Cricetulus griseus: one gene and its partners. The protein of the gene in region 1 interacts with the protein of each later gene in a pairwise test. Links are inferred from orthologs where the notes say so. Each region holds a gene or a part of one and is shown in the gene's direction. Other genes may lie near its edges.

Region 1 (4,342 bases):
TCAGTATTCACAACAGGTAGCTTTCAAGTTTCTGCAAAGTAACCTAGTCAAATTCTATCACAGCCCACATACACCAGAACTTCTGCTATCTACAGCAAATCTAGTAGAAACAAGGTTATGTACCATGTGACCACCACCAGAGAGCAAATGCTGTGATTCTGCTTTGACAGACTATGCCACTTGAACAGACTTTGGGGACTTACTGGGGAATTTTATGTGATAAAGTTTTTCCTCAGTAACAATTCTCCCTGGTTTTGTTGCTTGTTTTGTTTGTTTGTTTACCTCTTTAATATTGAGGGATTTGGGAATCCATTAAAGGGCATATGTGTGAACATCTCAAACCCAATCATTTTTAGCAGGTCTTAGTCACAAGAAGTTCCTAGTCTGCTGTCCAGATACAATCTTACACAACTTGCAGGATGCCCGGTGCATTTTTAGACACAATTCAGAGGTTTTGTCTATAACCAAGGGGAAAGGATTGTATAGGGATGTGAACCCCAGGAAGGGATCATGGGTCTCTTATAAATTGTCTGCCATATTGGGTGTCGAGTCTTATGTCCTGGTCTGCCTTAGCTTCATCAGCTGCAGACCAGTGAGAACTGGATAGACAGCTGCATCCAGGGACAGAGCCCAGATGCAGTCCCATGTGCTATCAAGGCAGAGACTGGTAATGGAGGTAGAAGATGAGGTCTTAGAGATGAAGGGAACACAATAGAACACAGTGTGAGTGAAGAAATGTACTAGGAGTACATTTGGTGCTGGGCAGTACCAAGTCTACTGCAGCACAAGCGAAAGAGATCTGCAGATCTGGGGCCACCACAGGATAAACTTAAAGGAACTACATTGAGTCTATCTGGCCAAAGGTCCTTCTGAAGAGAGCGCTCTGAAGAGGCAAGAGTGGGTGGCCTGGGTTTCCTAGGGACATCTCTTCCATTCATTTGGCAAATTCAAGGCTGGTGGAAGTGTTCCAGCCCACTCTTGCCTCTCCTTCAGCTTGGCTTCTTTTTTTAACATTTAAATATAAATGTTCTTCCTCCCACAGCATTTTGAAGTAATTCAAGGGCTTGAGGGTAACTGGTTTTACTGCCATCTGCTTTCTCCTCAAGCTGCCAAACATCAGTTTTCTCCTTTCTTCAAGCGGATCAGGCACCTTGCAGGTGGTGGTCTCCTAGCTATCTCCAGCCAGGTGACTGGACGTTGTGACGACTTGACGGAGTTGAGATAAACATCCATGTTTCGGGTGCCTGGTCCTGGGTCAACAGACTGGCTCACGCCGAGAAACACTCAGGTTTAGGCATGCGCAGACAGCCTGGCAGCCATTTTAAGGGCTTACCGTACTACAGGAGTGACCACCGCGCAGGCGTACACGGGAGACTTAACCCGCCCTCACCCCAGCCCTTTGCACGCATGCGCGGATTAGCCGGAAGGGGCGGGATTAGCCATTGCGAAGCGGCTGCGCCTTGGGAATGCCGGGGTGGGGCGGGGCGGGGTGACTGTCAGCTGACTGAGGCGCAGATTGCCTCGCGGGACAACGGTCGGCGACGCAGGTTGAGGTGGGGGCGGAAGAACTCTCCCGGCGGGTCTCTGTGCGGTCGGTGAGGCACAGGGTCGCCGTAACATCATGGCGACCACCGTCAGCACGCAGCGCGGGCCGGTGAGTCCACTGGGCGAGGGCCGGACTGGGGCAACGCAGCCTGAGATCGGGCTCCTCTTGTCAGCCCCTCGTGGGGCCCCTCGCGAGTTGCTCGGCCGTCCCGGAGCTGTGCGGGTCCCACCTTCGGGTACCCAAACGGAGTAGCGACTCTGGTCCTGAGGGTCTCGCGGGTGGAAGAAGGCAGAGCTTGATGGTTCTTTGGATGCCCACGGGCCCTGAAACCCCTGAATCCCTAGAGGGGCCCTGAATCCCTTAGTCCTCCACACAGAGGAACGTGACCCCATTGGTTCCCCATACTGAGAGGGACCCCGACTCCCCTTAGTTCCCCGGGTGGAAAAAGGGTCCCGAACCCCTTACTTCCCCAGATGTATACCAACCCCTTGGTCTCTCAGATGGACATGGGCCCTGACGCTTGGTTCCCCAAATGGAGAGTGGTCCTGACCCTGTTAATTTCCCAAACTGATAGTCTTGGCTCCCATGATCTCTCAGAGGAGTGGGGCCTGACACTCCTCTGATGTTTCAGAGATGGTGAAAGATCCCACTTTGTAATCAGCTCTTAGTTGTGTCAGTTTCTTCCTCTCCCTGCTCCTATAGAGAACAGGGTTGCTACCTCTTGAGCCCGGTTAGTGGCTACCTTTCCAAGTCTCAGTTGTTCATCTATAAATGAGGAGAAGGGAGCAGAAAACGTGGAAAACCAACAGTGATGGCTCCTAAGGGTTGTCTTGGGGTCCACAACACTACCTGTCTCTCCTACCTCTAGTGTGGATGTCCTCCCAGTAGTTCTCTGAGACTGATATGAGTTGGATGTTGTTAGCTAACAGTGGTTATGTGTGTAGAACACAGTTCTGATGGCTCCATTGTCTTTTCCCTGAAGTTATTGAAAGTGTCTGCAAAGCCTTTGGTTTCCCAGGTCCCTCACCCTGACAGCTTGGTGTTGACAGGTGTGTGTGTGTGTGTGTGTGTGTGTGTGTGTGTGTGTGTGTGTGTGTAACAGATAAATCATTGGGGTAGATGACTGATTTTCTGACTTTGAAGAAAGCCCCAGGCAGGGTGCTTTTTTGGAGGGCTTTAAAGCCAGACTTCCTGACCAGAGTTGGGGTTACCTTCATGTTCAGCAACCCTTCTTCATCCTCACTGTGTCTCACCAAACTACAGAAGATTGCTAGTGGCTGACAGAAGAGGAAGGGAGCCAGTACTTTGCTCTTTTCCTATCTCCTGCCAAGTGGACACAGGGCCAGGCAGAGTGGACCGTTCCTTACTGTGTGTCTGAGAGTGCCTTTACTTCTGTGGCTGGACTGCATTTGAATTCATCTGATGGTGAGCTTAATGTCCGTCATTAATTGAGTAAGAAGGTGTCCTCCCGTGTTGCTGAGGGAAACTCTGGTGCTGTGTGTATAGAGCTGGGGTAACCCACGCTGTGATGAGTAATTGGGAGTGTCGGGTGACATTCATACTAGCGCAATCTGTGGAGTCAAGTCCTGACGCTTGATCTTTCTACTTGCCCAGTGTTCTAGGGACCACAGAGTCTTATAAATAAACATAGACAGCTGAATGGTTTTTTAGGAGCACTCTTGATGACTTGTAATATTGTGTCTGGACTCTAAGAAATTGTCATCAGTGACAGATATCTTAGACTTTGCTTGGGATGTATTATTGGCCACAGTATTTAGAGCAATTGGACACTGAGTCAAAAGTGTGGAGCACAGGGACACAGCTATGCATGGTGACCCATATAAAGCCAGAAAATAACAGTCACCATCAGGTCTGTGCTCTTAATCATTGAAAACAGAAAGGTATGGACTTGGTGTGGGAGGAGTGAATGGGTTATGGCCAGGGTCTCTTAAAGACTAGAAGATCTTGAACTTGATCTGGTAAGTGCTGTTTCTTAGAGTGCATGCCTTTTACAGTTTTCAGCTTTTCACTGGCTGCTTCACCTAGAATGATCTACCTATATGCCTCTGGATTCATTAATATTTGCAAAGGTTTTTTTAGCCAGTTGTCAGGGTCTAGTAGAACTGTCAAGAGTGTGGTAGTTCTTCCCTACTATTCATGTCATACTCAGGGTTGTGGAGCTGTAAAGATAAACAGAAGTACACATTTGGTCAGTACTGGGTACTATTGGCAGCCTTCTTTTTGTAACCGCAGCAGGGGGTTAGGCTATGGTTCAGAGTCCCCTTCCCAGGAGCCTGGACTAGGCTTGGGCAGTTGTCTCTATAGCTGACCTTCACCTCTGATGAGTGGGGAAGGACTGACAGTGTCTTGGGAGGCTATAGAAGGCTGAGGACACTCTCATCTGGGCTAGGAGGGTTCTCTATTCTTGGTTGAGGGTTTGGGATGGGGCAAGTATGAGGAGGAGAGCCAGAACCCACATAATTGTGAAGGAATAAGTTTTTCCCTGGGACATTTGGTATTTTACGTTTTTTTTTTGTGTTTTGTTTTTTTTGTTTTGTTTTGTTTTGTTTTGTTTAATAGCCACTATAGGGCACTACAATCTTTCATAGCCATCTCACTTTTGAAAATACTGGTATTTTGAAATTACCCCTTTTGCTACCCAGTCTGCACACCTGCTCCTTTCCTACAGTAGTGGTTTTTTTTTTTTTTTTTTTTTTGCGGGGGGTGGGGTGGGGGGGTGGGGGGGTCCGAGACAGGGTTTCTCTGTAGCTTTAGAGCATGTCCTGGAACTCGATC
Region 2 (3,604 bases), on another chromosome or scaffold:
GTTGGTGAATGTGGGCTGGCTGTAGTTGGTGCTGAACCTGAAAAGGGATCTCTTTTCGTAATTCCTAAGTGTCCCGTGGAAATACAAGAGCCAGTTGGGTAAAAGAAAGCTCTTAATGAGCCTCTTTGTTGTGCTTCAGAGTCTTTGGAATTGTTAAACTTCACTGTAGCTTAGAAGCCCGTCTACAATAGAGAGACAATTCCCGGGTCTGTGATGGACACATCCACTAACTCCTGTCGCTCTCTTTCCACTCCCTGCATCCTGCATCCGGAGCTCCACAAGTGTCTGTGTGCAGCACTCTGCGCCCTCCCTCCCCCACCAGACACACTTTTTTTTTGTCTTCAGTGCTTGATCTATGCTGTTTGCAGGTGGCATGGCGGTCCTCTGAGACAGACATCAATTGCAAAGATCAGAGTGGGCTGGCTTTTGAAGAGTTTTTTCACATTCTGCTTTGTAAGCCCGCTGAGATGTGGTGTTCCTTTCATGTTTCCTCTCCATCTGTCTCTCCAAAGGGCAAAGGGAGGGTCTTCACATGACTGGGGCTGTTGATGCTGGCTGCAAATTCATTTCAATTAATGTCTACATTTTTTGTCTTGGGCATCTAGCACCATTGCATTGCTTGATTTTTGACCTTATGCTAGCAAGGCTTCCTGTGAGCAACAAGAGGAAAATTTTCTGCACCATCAGAAGAAAGAATAAAAGAATATCTCTCATTCATTATTGGGGGAGAGGGAGGTCTACTAGATGCTATGGAGTCTTATTTTGGTGATATTGGGTCCTAAGCAATAGTGTAAGTGTTACAGATCATATTCATTATCTAGGGAATCTCTTAGTGACCCCTCTTCAAGCAATGGTAATGTATTTATTGACACCCTGCTGTATACTAGGCTTTGTAGGTCTTCAAACACATCATTTCCTTTGGCCTAGTGAGTCCAAAGTCTTATCTCTTTGCCTGTCTTACCACCAGCCACACCTACTTTGGGACTTCCTTTCCTGGCTTCTTTTCATATTACAGTGCAGAGCTGAGTAAGTTGCCTCACACTAGATGGCCTTAAAAGCATAAAATATTTCAGATCTGGGGCTTTAAAAACAAATTGAGCCCCTGTACTGCACATGAACAGCAATCAGATCATTAACAAATAAGACAATTTATCTGGCTTGACATTGTGGGAATAATTCATCTACCACCTACCTGTTACCCCCTCCCTCCAGCCCCTCACCTTTCCTTTTTATTTCATTTTATCTTAAAAAATTTGTATGTTTTTGCAGAGGTGATAACTGCTACATAGGAGTCTAAATGCCAGTTAGTAATAGTGTAACTTATTTATATCTGGATTTCCTATCAGCAGTCTTGTAATAGACTATTTGAGATTCTAAACGGTTTAATGAAGCATACATATTTTTTGGGGGGAGCAACTTTCTTGAGAAGTCAGATTGTGTAATTACGTGAGGTGTAAGCAAGTTCTCATGCTCTTGCTGTGAGAGCAGAGATAGCCCTGCATCTTTGCCTGCTGCTGTGCTAATGCACGGGAGAATGCAGCCAAGATGGATGGAGAAGATGCTAATATCAGCCTATGCACCTTGGGTTTATTGGAGCTTTGCTAGAAGGAAGTCAGTTGCAAGGCAGCAGATTTCAAATGTCAGGATACTTAAGAAACACTTTGGCGGTGCTTGTTAAGAAAAATGTAGATTCCCCAGACTAATTCTTGGGGCTGCTGAGGCGGTTAAGTGTTCTATTGATGGCTCTGATACTTATGAGAAAAAGCTAGCTGTGGGGTAATGTCTTAGCTCAAGGCAGTGATTTTAAGTAGTCCAAATAAGGTCATTATCCATGATGAGTTTTTAAATCCTGGTTCAGTTTATATTGAATGTGATGTAGCCATAAACTTTAAAGGCTTAAGTACATGTAACAGGAAGTAAAATTATGCCCCCGTGCTGTAAATGCTTCTTAACTACTTCCACCATCACTAATAATGACAACAACATTTCATGTTTATGCTTTGTAGTTACAAAGCTCCCGGTCTCAGCATCTCATTTGATTTTCACACCCGCTCTGGAGGTAAATGTGACAAGTGGTTATTTTTCATTTATAATGAGAAAACTAAAATTTATAAAACAAGTGATTTTTTTTTCCCCCAAATAGCTCAGTTATTAAGCTGGGCTTCTAGAATTTCCATACAGCATTTCAGGGTACCACATTGTTGTTTTAGAGAAAAATTATCCATCTCCTTTCACTGCCCTCTGACGGGCAGGATGAACTGTCCACATTTGAAAAACTTGATGGTCGCTGGATGACAGCACGGAAGTGACCACATGTTAAAGAATTATTTTTATCATTTATTAAAGTGTAAGATCTGTGCACAAATATTAAAGAATAAATGGGGAACCTGAACAGAGTTGCAAGCTACTGGCCTCCACTTGCTCCTTGCTCCAAAAAGGGGTGGGGCCACCCGTACCTAGGATAAGTCCATTCCCAATGAGAACCCAGCCTCTTGGACCAAACATCACCTCTTAATTCACAAGCAGATCGGTGACAGAATTCCCATGACAACCACAGGTGCATGTAGTGTCAGTTGTTTTTATAAAGAGCATCCATAGTATGGAAAAAGAAACCTCCTTTTTTCTGACAGAAACTTTACAAGACTGGTCGGGAGATGCAGGAGAGGATCATGGACCTGCTGGTGGTAGTGGAAAATGAAGACGTAACTGTTGAGCTAATTCAAGTGAATGAGGATCTGAATAATGCCATCCTTGGATATGAGAGGTGAGCAGACAATGTGCCCTTTCACCCTCTTCTCAATGTAGTTTCACCACCATAGGGCCCTCATTCCGTCTGGAGAACCCACAAGAGAATAGTCTTTCTAGATCTTTTTTTCTCAATAGGAGTGGCATGGTGAATAGACTAGTGTTCTTTTGTGTGGCCACTGCTCCTCCCCCAAATGCCAGAGATGCTCCTCTGAGTTGAGGTGACTCAACAGACAGCCTTGGGAAGGTACTGTTACTGTTGAGAATTACTAGGGCTATTTCATTGTACAGTGGCTACATTTCTAACCAGCAAATGAAGAATGAGGTGAGTGGCATAAGAAAGAGGTGAGCAGGCCTAAACTCAAATCTAGATGATGTGAAATAAAATAGATAAGTTGCCTAACATTCTGAAGCCTTCCCCCCCAAAAAAACCCATAAAACAAAACAAAAAACACAAAAATTCTATCTTTGGAGGGGCTGATTTTATTTTTCAGGGGTAAATGAGATAATGCATATTACAAACAAATAACACAGTGGCATATTGACACTCATTACATTTTTGTGTGTGATGCTAGGATTGAACTTGGGACTCTGTCCTGGTAGTCTAGTGCTCTATCACTGAATTATACTCCTGATATTTCCCACACTGAATCACCATTTTTCCATCCTCATTCATGTTCCATTTAGACTTTAAAAATCACAAAGGTTTTCACTCTTTTTCTCCCCCGTGCCAACACTGAGGCAAGAGAATCAGGAAGAGAAAGCCAGCAGCTGTACTGTGGTGGTTCCTTTCTCCTTTACAGTCTCACATTCACTGCCTCTTAGGGACGGCAAGTTTTTGTAAGAAAACATGGCAGTG
Region 3 (4,359 bases), on another chromosome or scaffold:
TTATAAGTAAAAATAAGCCTCCGTGTGTGATTTATTTGGGAGCTGGGTGGTGCCCCCCCAAAAGAGCAAAGAGTAAAAGAGCCAAGGAGTAAAACATCAACAACACAGAGTAGGGATCTTTGTAACATCAAGCTTTTCTAGATTGACCAATATGTAGATTCACCAAAGATTTACCTCTTGTCTATAGTAGAACTCAATTTTCTAATCATGACTCTATTGTAACAGCATACTAGGAACAACCATTATCACAGCTCATGTTTCCAACTGTTCTTCTCAGGCCAAGGCCCAAGGAATCCTCCCCTGTGGGGATTATATCAATAATTTATACAAGTGGGTGCTGGTTGACTTGCCTGATGGTGTCCTTGGTGAAGACCAGAGGTAGGATGTGGAGAAGAAGTGGAAAGCTTTACTTACAAATCAACCAGGTAGCCTCTCCACTGCGGAAAAAATCCAGGCTTTCCTGAGAAACAACAACCTGGGTCAACTGGACCTGAAACACTGTATTTGCCACTGTATTTGCTATGTAACTAAGTGTTACATGTCAGCTCTATGAGCTATTAAAAAGGGTGCCTTAGTGCTCTTACTTCCCAGCCTGGGGTGGGGGGTGGGGCTGGGAGGTCGTACAGTGAATTACTGATAGAGACTGATACGGAACCCTAGTATCTGTATTCCCTTCCCAAGCGCTTCATACAGCACCAAATGAAGTAACTTATTGCAGATCAAGAGGAAAGGGTACCTCTCTTTCTATGAAACTAATCAGTCCAGGAAACTGGCAGATGGATCCTGTTCCTACTAGCTTTTGCGGGCTTTGGGATCTATACTCAATTTTCTTCTCCAAAGGCCTGGTAATCTCAGAACAAGTGTAAAATGACGTGTGCGCTCATTTTACAAATGAGAAAGGGTCAGGTTGGGAGTCCTTACAGAAGAGTTTCAAGACAGATTTGAATCAACCTCTGCTCTTGGAGTCTTTCTGGAGTTTAACCTCATGCTTCTTACCTTCCTAAGGACCCTCCTTCAAGTGGACGCGTCGCTTGGTTGCTAGGTAACCAAGCACCGCCACTCGGTCGCTAAGGGGAAGTCCAGCAATAAATATCCTGGGTGAAAGTTGATGTGTCACGTGACCGCATTTCTGGGCGGCGAAACGCTTCTAACACCAACCAGCCTTGAAGAAAACAAACCTCTCACCAATCAGCACCGTCAATGCACCGCAACTTCTAGTTACTCTTTCTTTACTCGGATAATTGACACGCCTTTTATCCAATCATAGTAAGGATTCTCTAGACTGACTAACAGGGTAATGAATCAAAATGAAGGGCCGCTCGTTTGGAGGCGGGTCCAGGGGGGTTGTGCCACTAGGCTGACGGGGACCCCAATGACTTAGCTTGCTTGGTGCCCAATCGGACGCTGCGGGGTGGGTGGGACTTCACTGAGAGTGGCGTGCCGTCCAATCGGAGGCTGGCTGAGTAGACGCTGCCCAATAGGGATGCACCCAGAGGGCGAGGTCAGGCAGGCGCTCGGCGTTCCCGAGGGTGGGGCGGGGGCAAGTGTCAGTCAGGGCGAGCGCGGCGCGGGCAGTGGAGACCCGCGGCATACAGGCATCCGGGCCGGAACGAGGCCTGCAGAGATGGAGTTCCTGCTGGGGAATCCGTTCAGCACCCCTGTAGGGCAGTGTCTTGGTAAGGCCGCGCGTGGGGCAGGCGTCGAGTGAGCCACAGAGCGGCTGGCCGGGCTGGTGAGGTCCGGGGCCTCCTCCCGGCACAGATACCACTTCACGTGCGGGTTGGGCCTCTGCCAATAAGTGGTGTCATCTCAAAGGTGGACCGGGCATCCTTGTCACGAGGCCTTTGCCTGACGCTGGTGCTACCTCACCCTGCCAGGAGGCTCCCCTGAGGTGCAACTTGGATTCTGAGAGGCACCCTGCATCCCTACCCATCAAGGCCCAACCTTTCCAAGTCTCTCCCTAGAAGCAGTGCCCATGCTGGACTGCCTACCCTTGCGTATTGGGAGATGTCACTGCGAGCAGTCTTCTCCAGGCATCTCGCCGCATCTGCTCTCAGGGCACCTTTCTCCCAGAGTCTTTGTGGAATGTCACTTCTTTCTTCCATCCCCGTCCCTACTCAATGGTACCAATGGCTCTGAGGCTGGGCAACTTCCCAGCAAATGTCCCATGCTGCACGACTTCTAATTTGAGCTGCAACTCAGCCAGGCTGTAGGAGGGACTGGAATGGGGGAGGCGCTCCGGTAAGGTGACTGTCTCGGCAGTGGGATGGCATGTCTGCAGAGCCTCCTAGGAAAGAAGGGAGGCCGGACGTGCTGCTTGTTGATAAACACTGCTCTGGAACCCGGAAACTTGGACTCCAATAGTGACTTCGCTCGGGACTCTCCTTGACATCGTTCTCGTTTGTCACACGAGGTGTTTAGGGATAAGATGTAGTGGGACTTTCCAAGTTATCAAGTTTTTAACCTTCCTTGTTGATAGTCAGTGTTCCTGACATTGACTCTTGTTCCCCCACTATATTAAATTGGCAAGACTGAAATCTTGCTGGTAGTACAGCACTCAGGTCACCTGTCAATACTATAAGGAGCCAGAGATGGGCAGCATGCCACATATGGAAAAGCACAAGCAAAGCAGCCGCTGTGAAGTTTCCTTATTGAAAAAGCTACGTGCAGACTGGGGCATAGTTCAGTGGTAGAGCTAGCTAAGCACACACAAAATCCTAGATTTGATCTCCAGCATTGCAAGTAATAATAATAAACAAGCAATTTGGCTTTTCACCCAAGGCAGGAACTTATGCCAAGGGATCAGTCAAAAATGCTGATTAATGTCTTTTAAAACTATGTTTCAGTGCCAGAGTGCTGGCTCACTAGTTAAGAGCACTGGCTGTTGATCCAGGTTCAATTCCCAGTAGCTGCATTGTGGCTCACAACTGGGTGTAATTTCAGTTCCAGGGGATTGGTTGCCTCTTCTGACCCCTTTTATATACATGGCATGTAAATGGTGCACAGACATACAGGCAAACAGAACACCCACACATAAAATGTTTAAAAATTAAACATTAGAAGTGGGTCAGTATCTTGTATGAACAGGGATCTGTACTGTCCTTGTGGGTCAGACTAGTCCGGGCAGTGAAGATCTGCTTATTTTCTGCTTTGCATATGAATTTATAGCCTACTTTTCAAACTTTAGAGGGGCCTGTGAACTTACTGAGGCTTCTTGTGTTGGTTGCATGGCATTTTAGGGACATTTTGTTTCTTCTTGGTACAGTGTCTTTTATAAATGATCATGGATACTGGGACCTGAAAGTCTTTTCCCACTTCTATGACACGTTGTTCTCTGATGCTCACTCCAGTATCACTTTATTTTTTTTCAATTTTATGTGTTTGTTTTGTCTTCATGTATGTCTAGACACCACTTGTGTGCCTTGTGCCTGCAGAGGCCAGAAGAGGGTGTAGGATCCCCTGGAACTGGAGTTAAAGACATTCTGAGTTTCCGTGTGAGTTCCAGGAATAAAACCTGGGTCCTCTGGAAGAGCAGCAAGTGCTCTTAACCACTGAATCATTTCTCCAGAATCCCCTCTCTTTTTGAAAATATTTTGTTTTATTTATGTATATGTGTGCATGTATCTGTGTGAGTGTATACATACATGTATGTGTTTGTGTGTGCCTGTGAAGGAAGACATTGGATCCCTGAGAGCAAAATTACAGGCATTTGTGATCTGGCTGGTGAGGGTGCTAGGATCTTGTTTTGTCCCTGTTTTTAAGTGTTATTTCACTGCTGTCCAAACTCATGTCTCAATTTAGTGTTGAGTTCAACTCAGTGAACTTGAGGGTTTTGTAGAGTTAGGGGAAGGAACCAGGAAGGTATAAAGGGCAGCATATCAAAAGAAGAAATAAGGGGTATAGGGGTATTTGAGTGGCCATAAATAAATAAATAAATAAATAAATAAATAAATAAATAAATGTGTTAGATGTGACCTGGGTTGAATGACCTTGGCTTTAGAACCTGAGCCCTAGTGTGACTGCCTGCTGAGCAAAGACTAGGGGAGGGTGGGGAGAGACTTGTGTTTAGAGTGCTGCGGTTTGAAGGGGATGATGCCTACCAGCCATTGGTATCTAATCTGGAACATTGTAGAGACTCAGTAACTTGAGCCATCTTTGTGTTCACATCATAATAATTAAGTCTGGGTTGTGTTTTCTATCAGAAGAGGCCATTCGATGGGACTGGTTTATGACCTGGGGAGGAAAATACCCTCCCAGGCCTTAGGTCCACTGTTGCTTATGAAAGACACTTGAGGGGCTAGATAGATGGTTCTTATTAAGAGCATGTTTTGCACTTGCAGAAGCCACAAGTTCAGTTCC

Evidence for each region.
Region 2: the proteins of Tollip (region 1) and Tom1l1 interact in binary tests that used the Homo sapiens proteins (3 or more experiments, as listed by UniProt). The link is inferred for Cricetulus griseus from reciprocal best matches to the Homo sapiens genes TOLLIP and TOM1L1.
Region 3: the proteins of Tollip (region 1) and Tom1l2 interact in binary tests that used the Homo sapiens proteins (3 or more experiments, as listed by UniProt). The link is inferred for Cricetulus griseus from reciprocal best matches to the Homo sapiens genes TOLLIP and TOM1L2.

The regions. Positions count from the first base shown.
Region 1 is NC_048596.1:59,283,289-59,287,630, forward strand, and holds the start of Tollip (toll-interacting protein), read left to right. Parts: upstream 1-1,494; 5' UTR 1,495-1,621; coding exon 1,622-1,654; intron 1,655-4,342. UniProt on the Homo sapiens protein: Component of the signaling pathway of IL-1 and Toll-like receptors. Inhibits cell activation by microbial products. Recruits IRAK1 to the IL-1 receptor complex. Inhibits IRAK1 phosphorylation and kinase activity.
Region 2 is NC_048600.1:103,766,721-103,770,324, reverse strand, and holds part of Tom1l1 (TOM1-like protein 1), read left to right. Parts: intron 1-2,630; coding exon 2,631-2,764; intron 2,765-3,604. UniProt on the Homo sapiens protein: Probable adapter protein involved in signaling pathways. Interacts with the SH2 and SH3 domains of various signaling proteins when it is phosphorylated. May promote FYN activation, possibly by disrupting intramolecular SH3-dependent interactions.
Region 3 is NC_048600.1:74,480,309-74,484,667, reverse strand, and holds the start of Tom1l2 (TOM1-like protein 2), read left to right. Parts: upstream 1-1,531; 5' UTR 1,532-1,624; coding exon 1,625-1,676; intron 1,677-4,359. UniProt on the Homo sapiens protein: Acts as a MYO6/Myosin VI adapter protein that targets myosin VI to endocytic structures. May also play a role in recruiting clathrin to endosomes. May regulate growth factor-induced mitogenic signaling.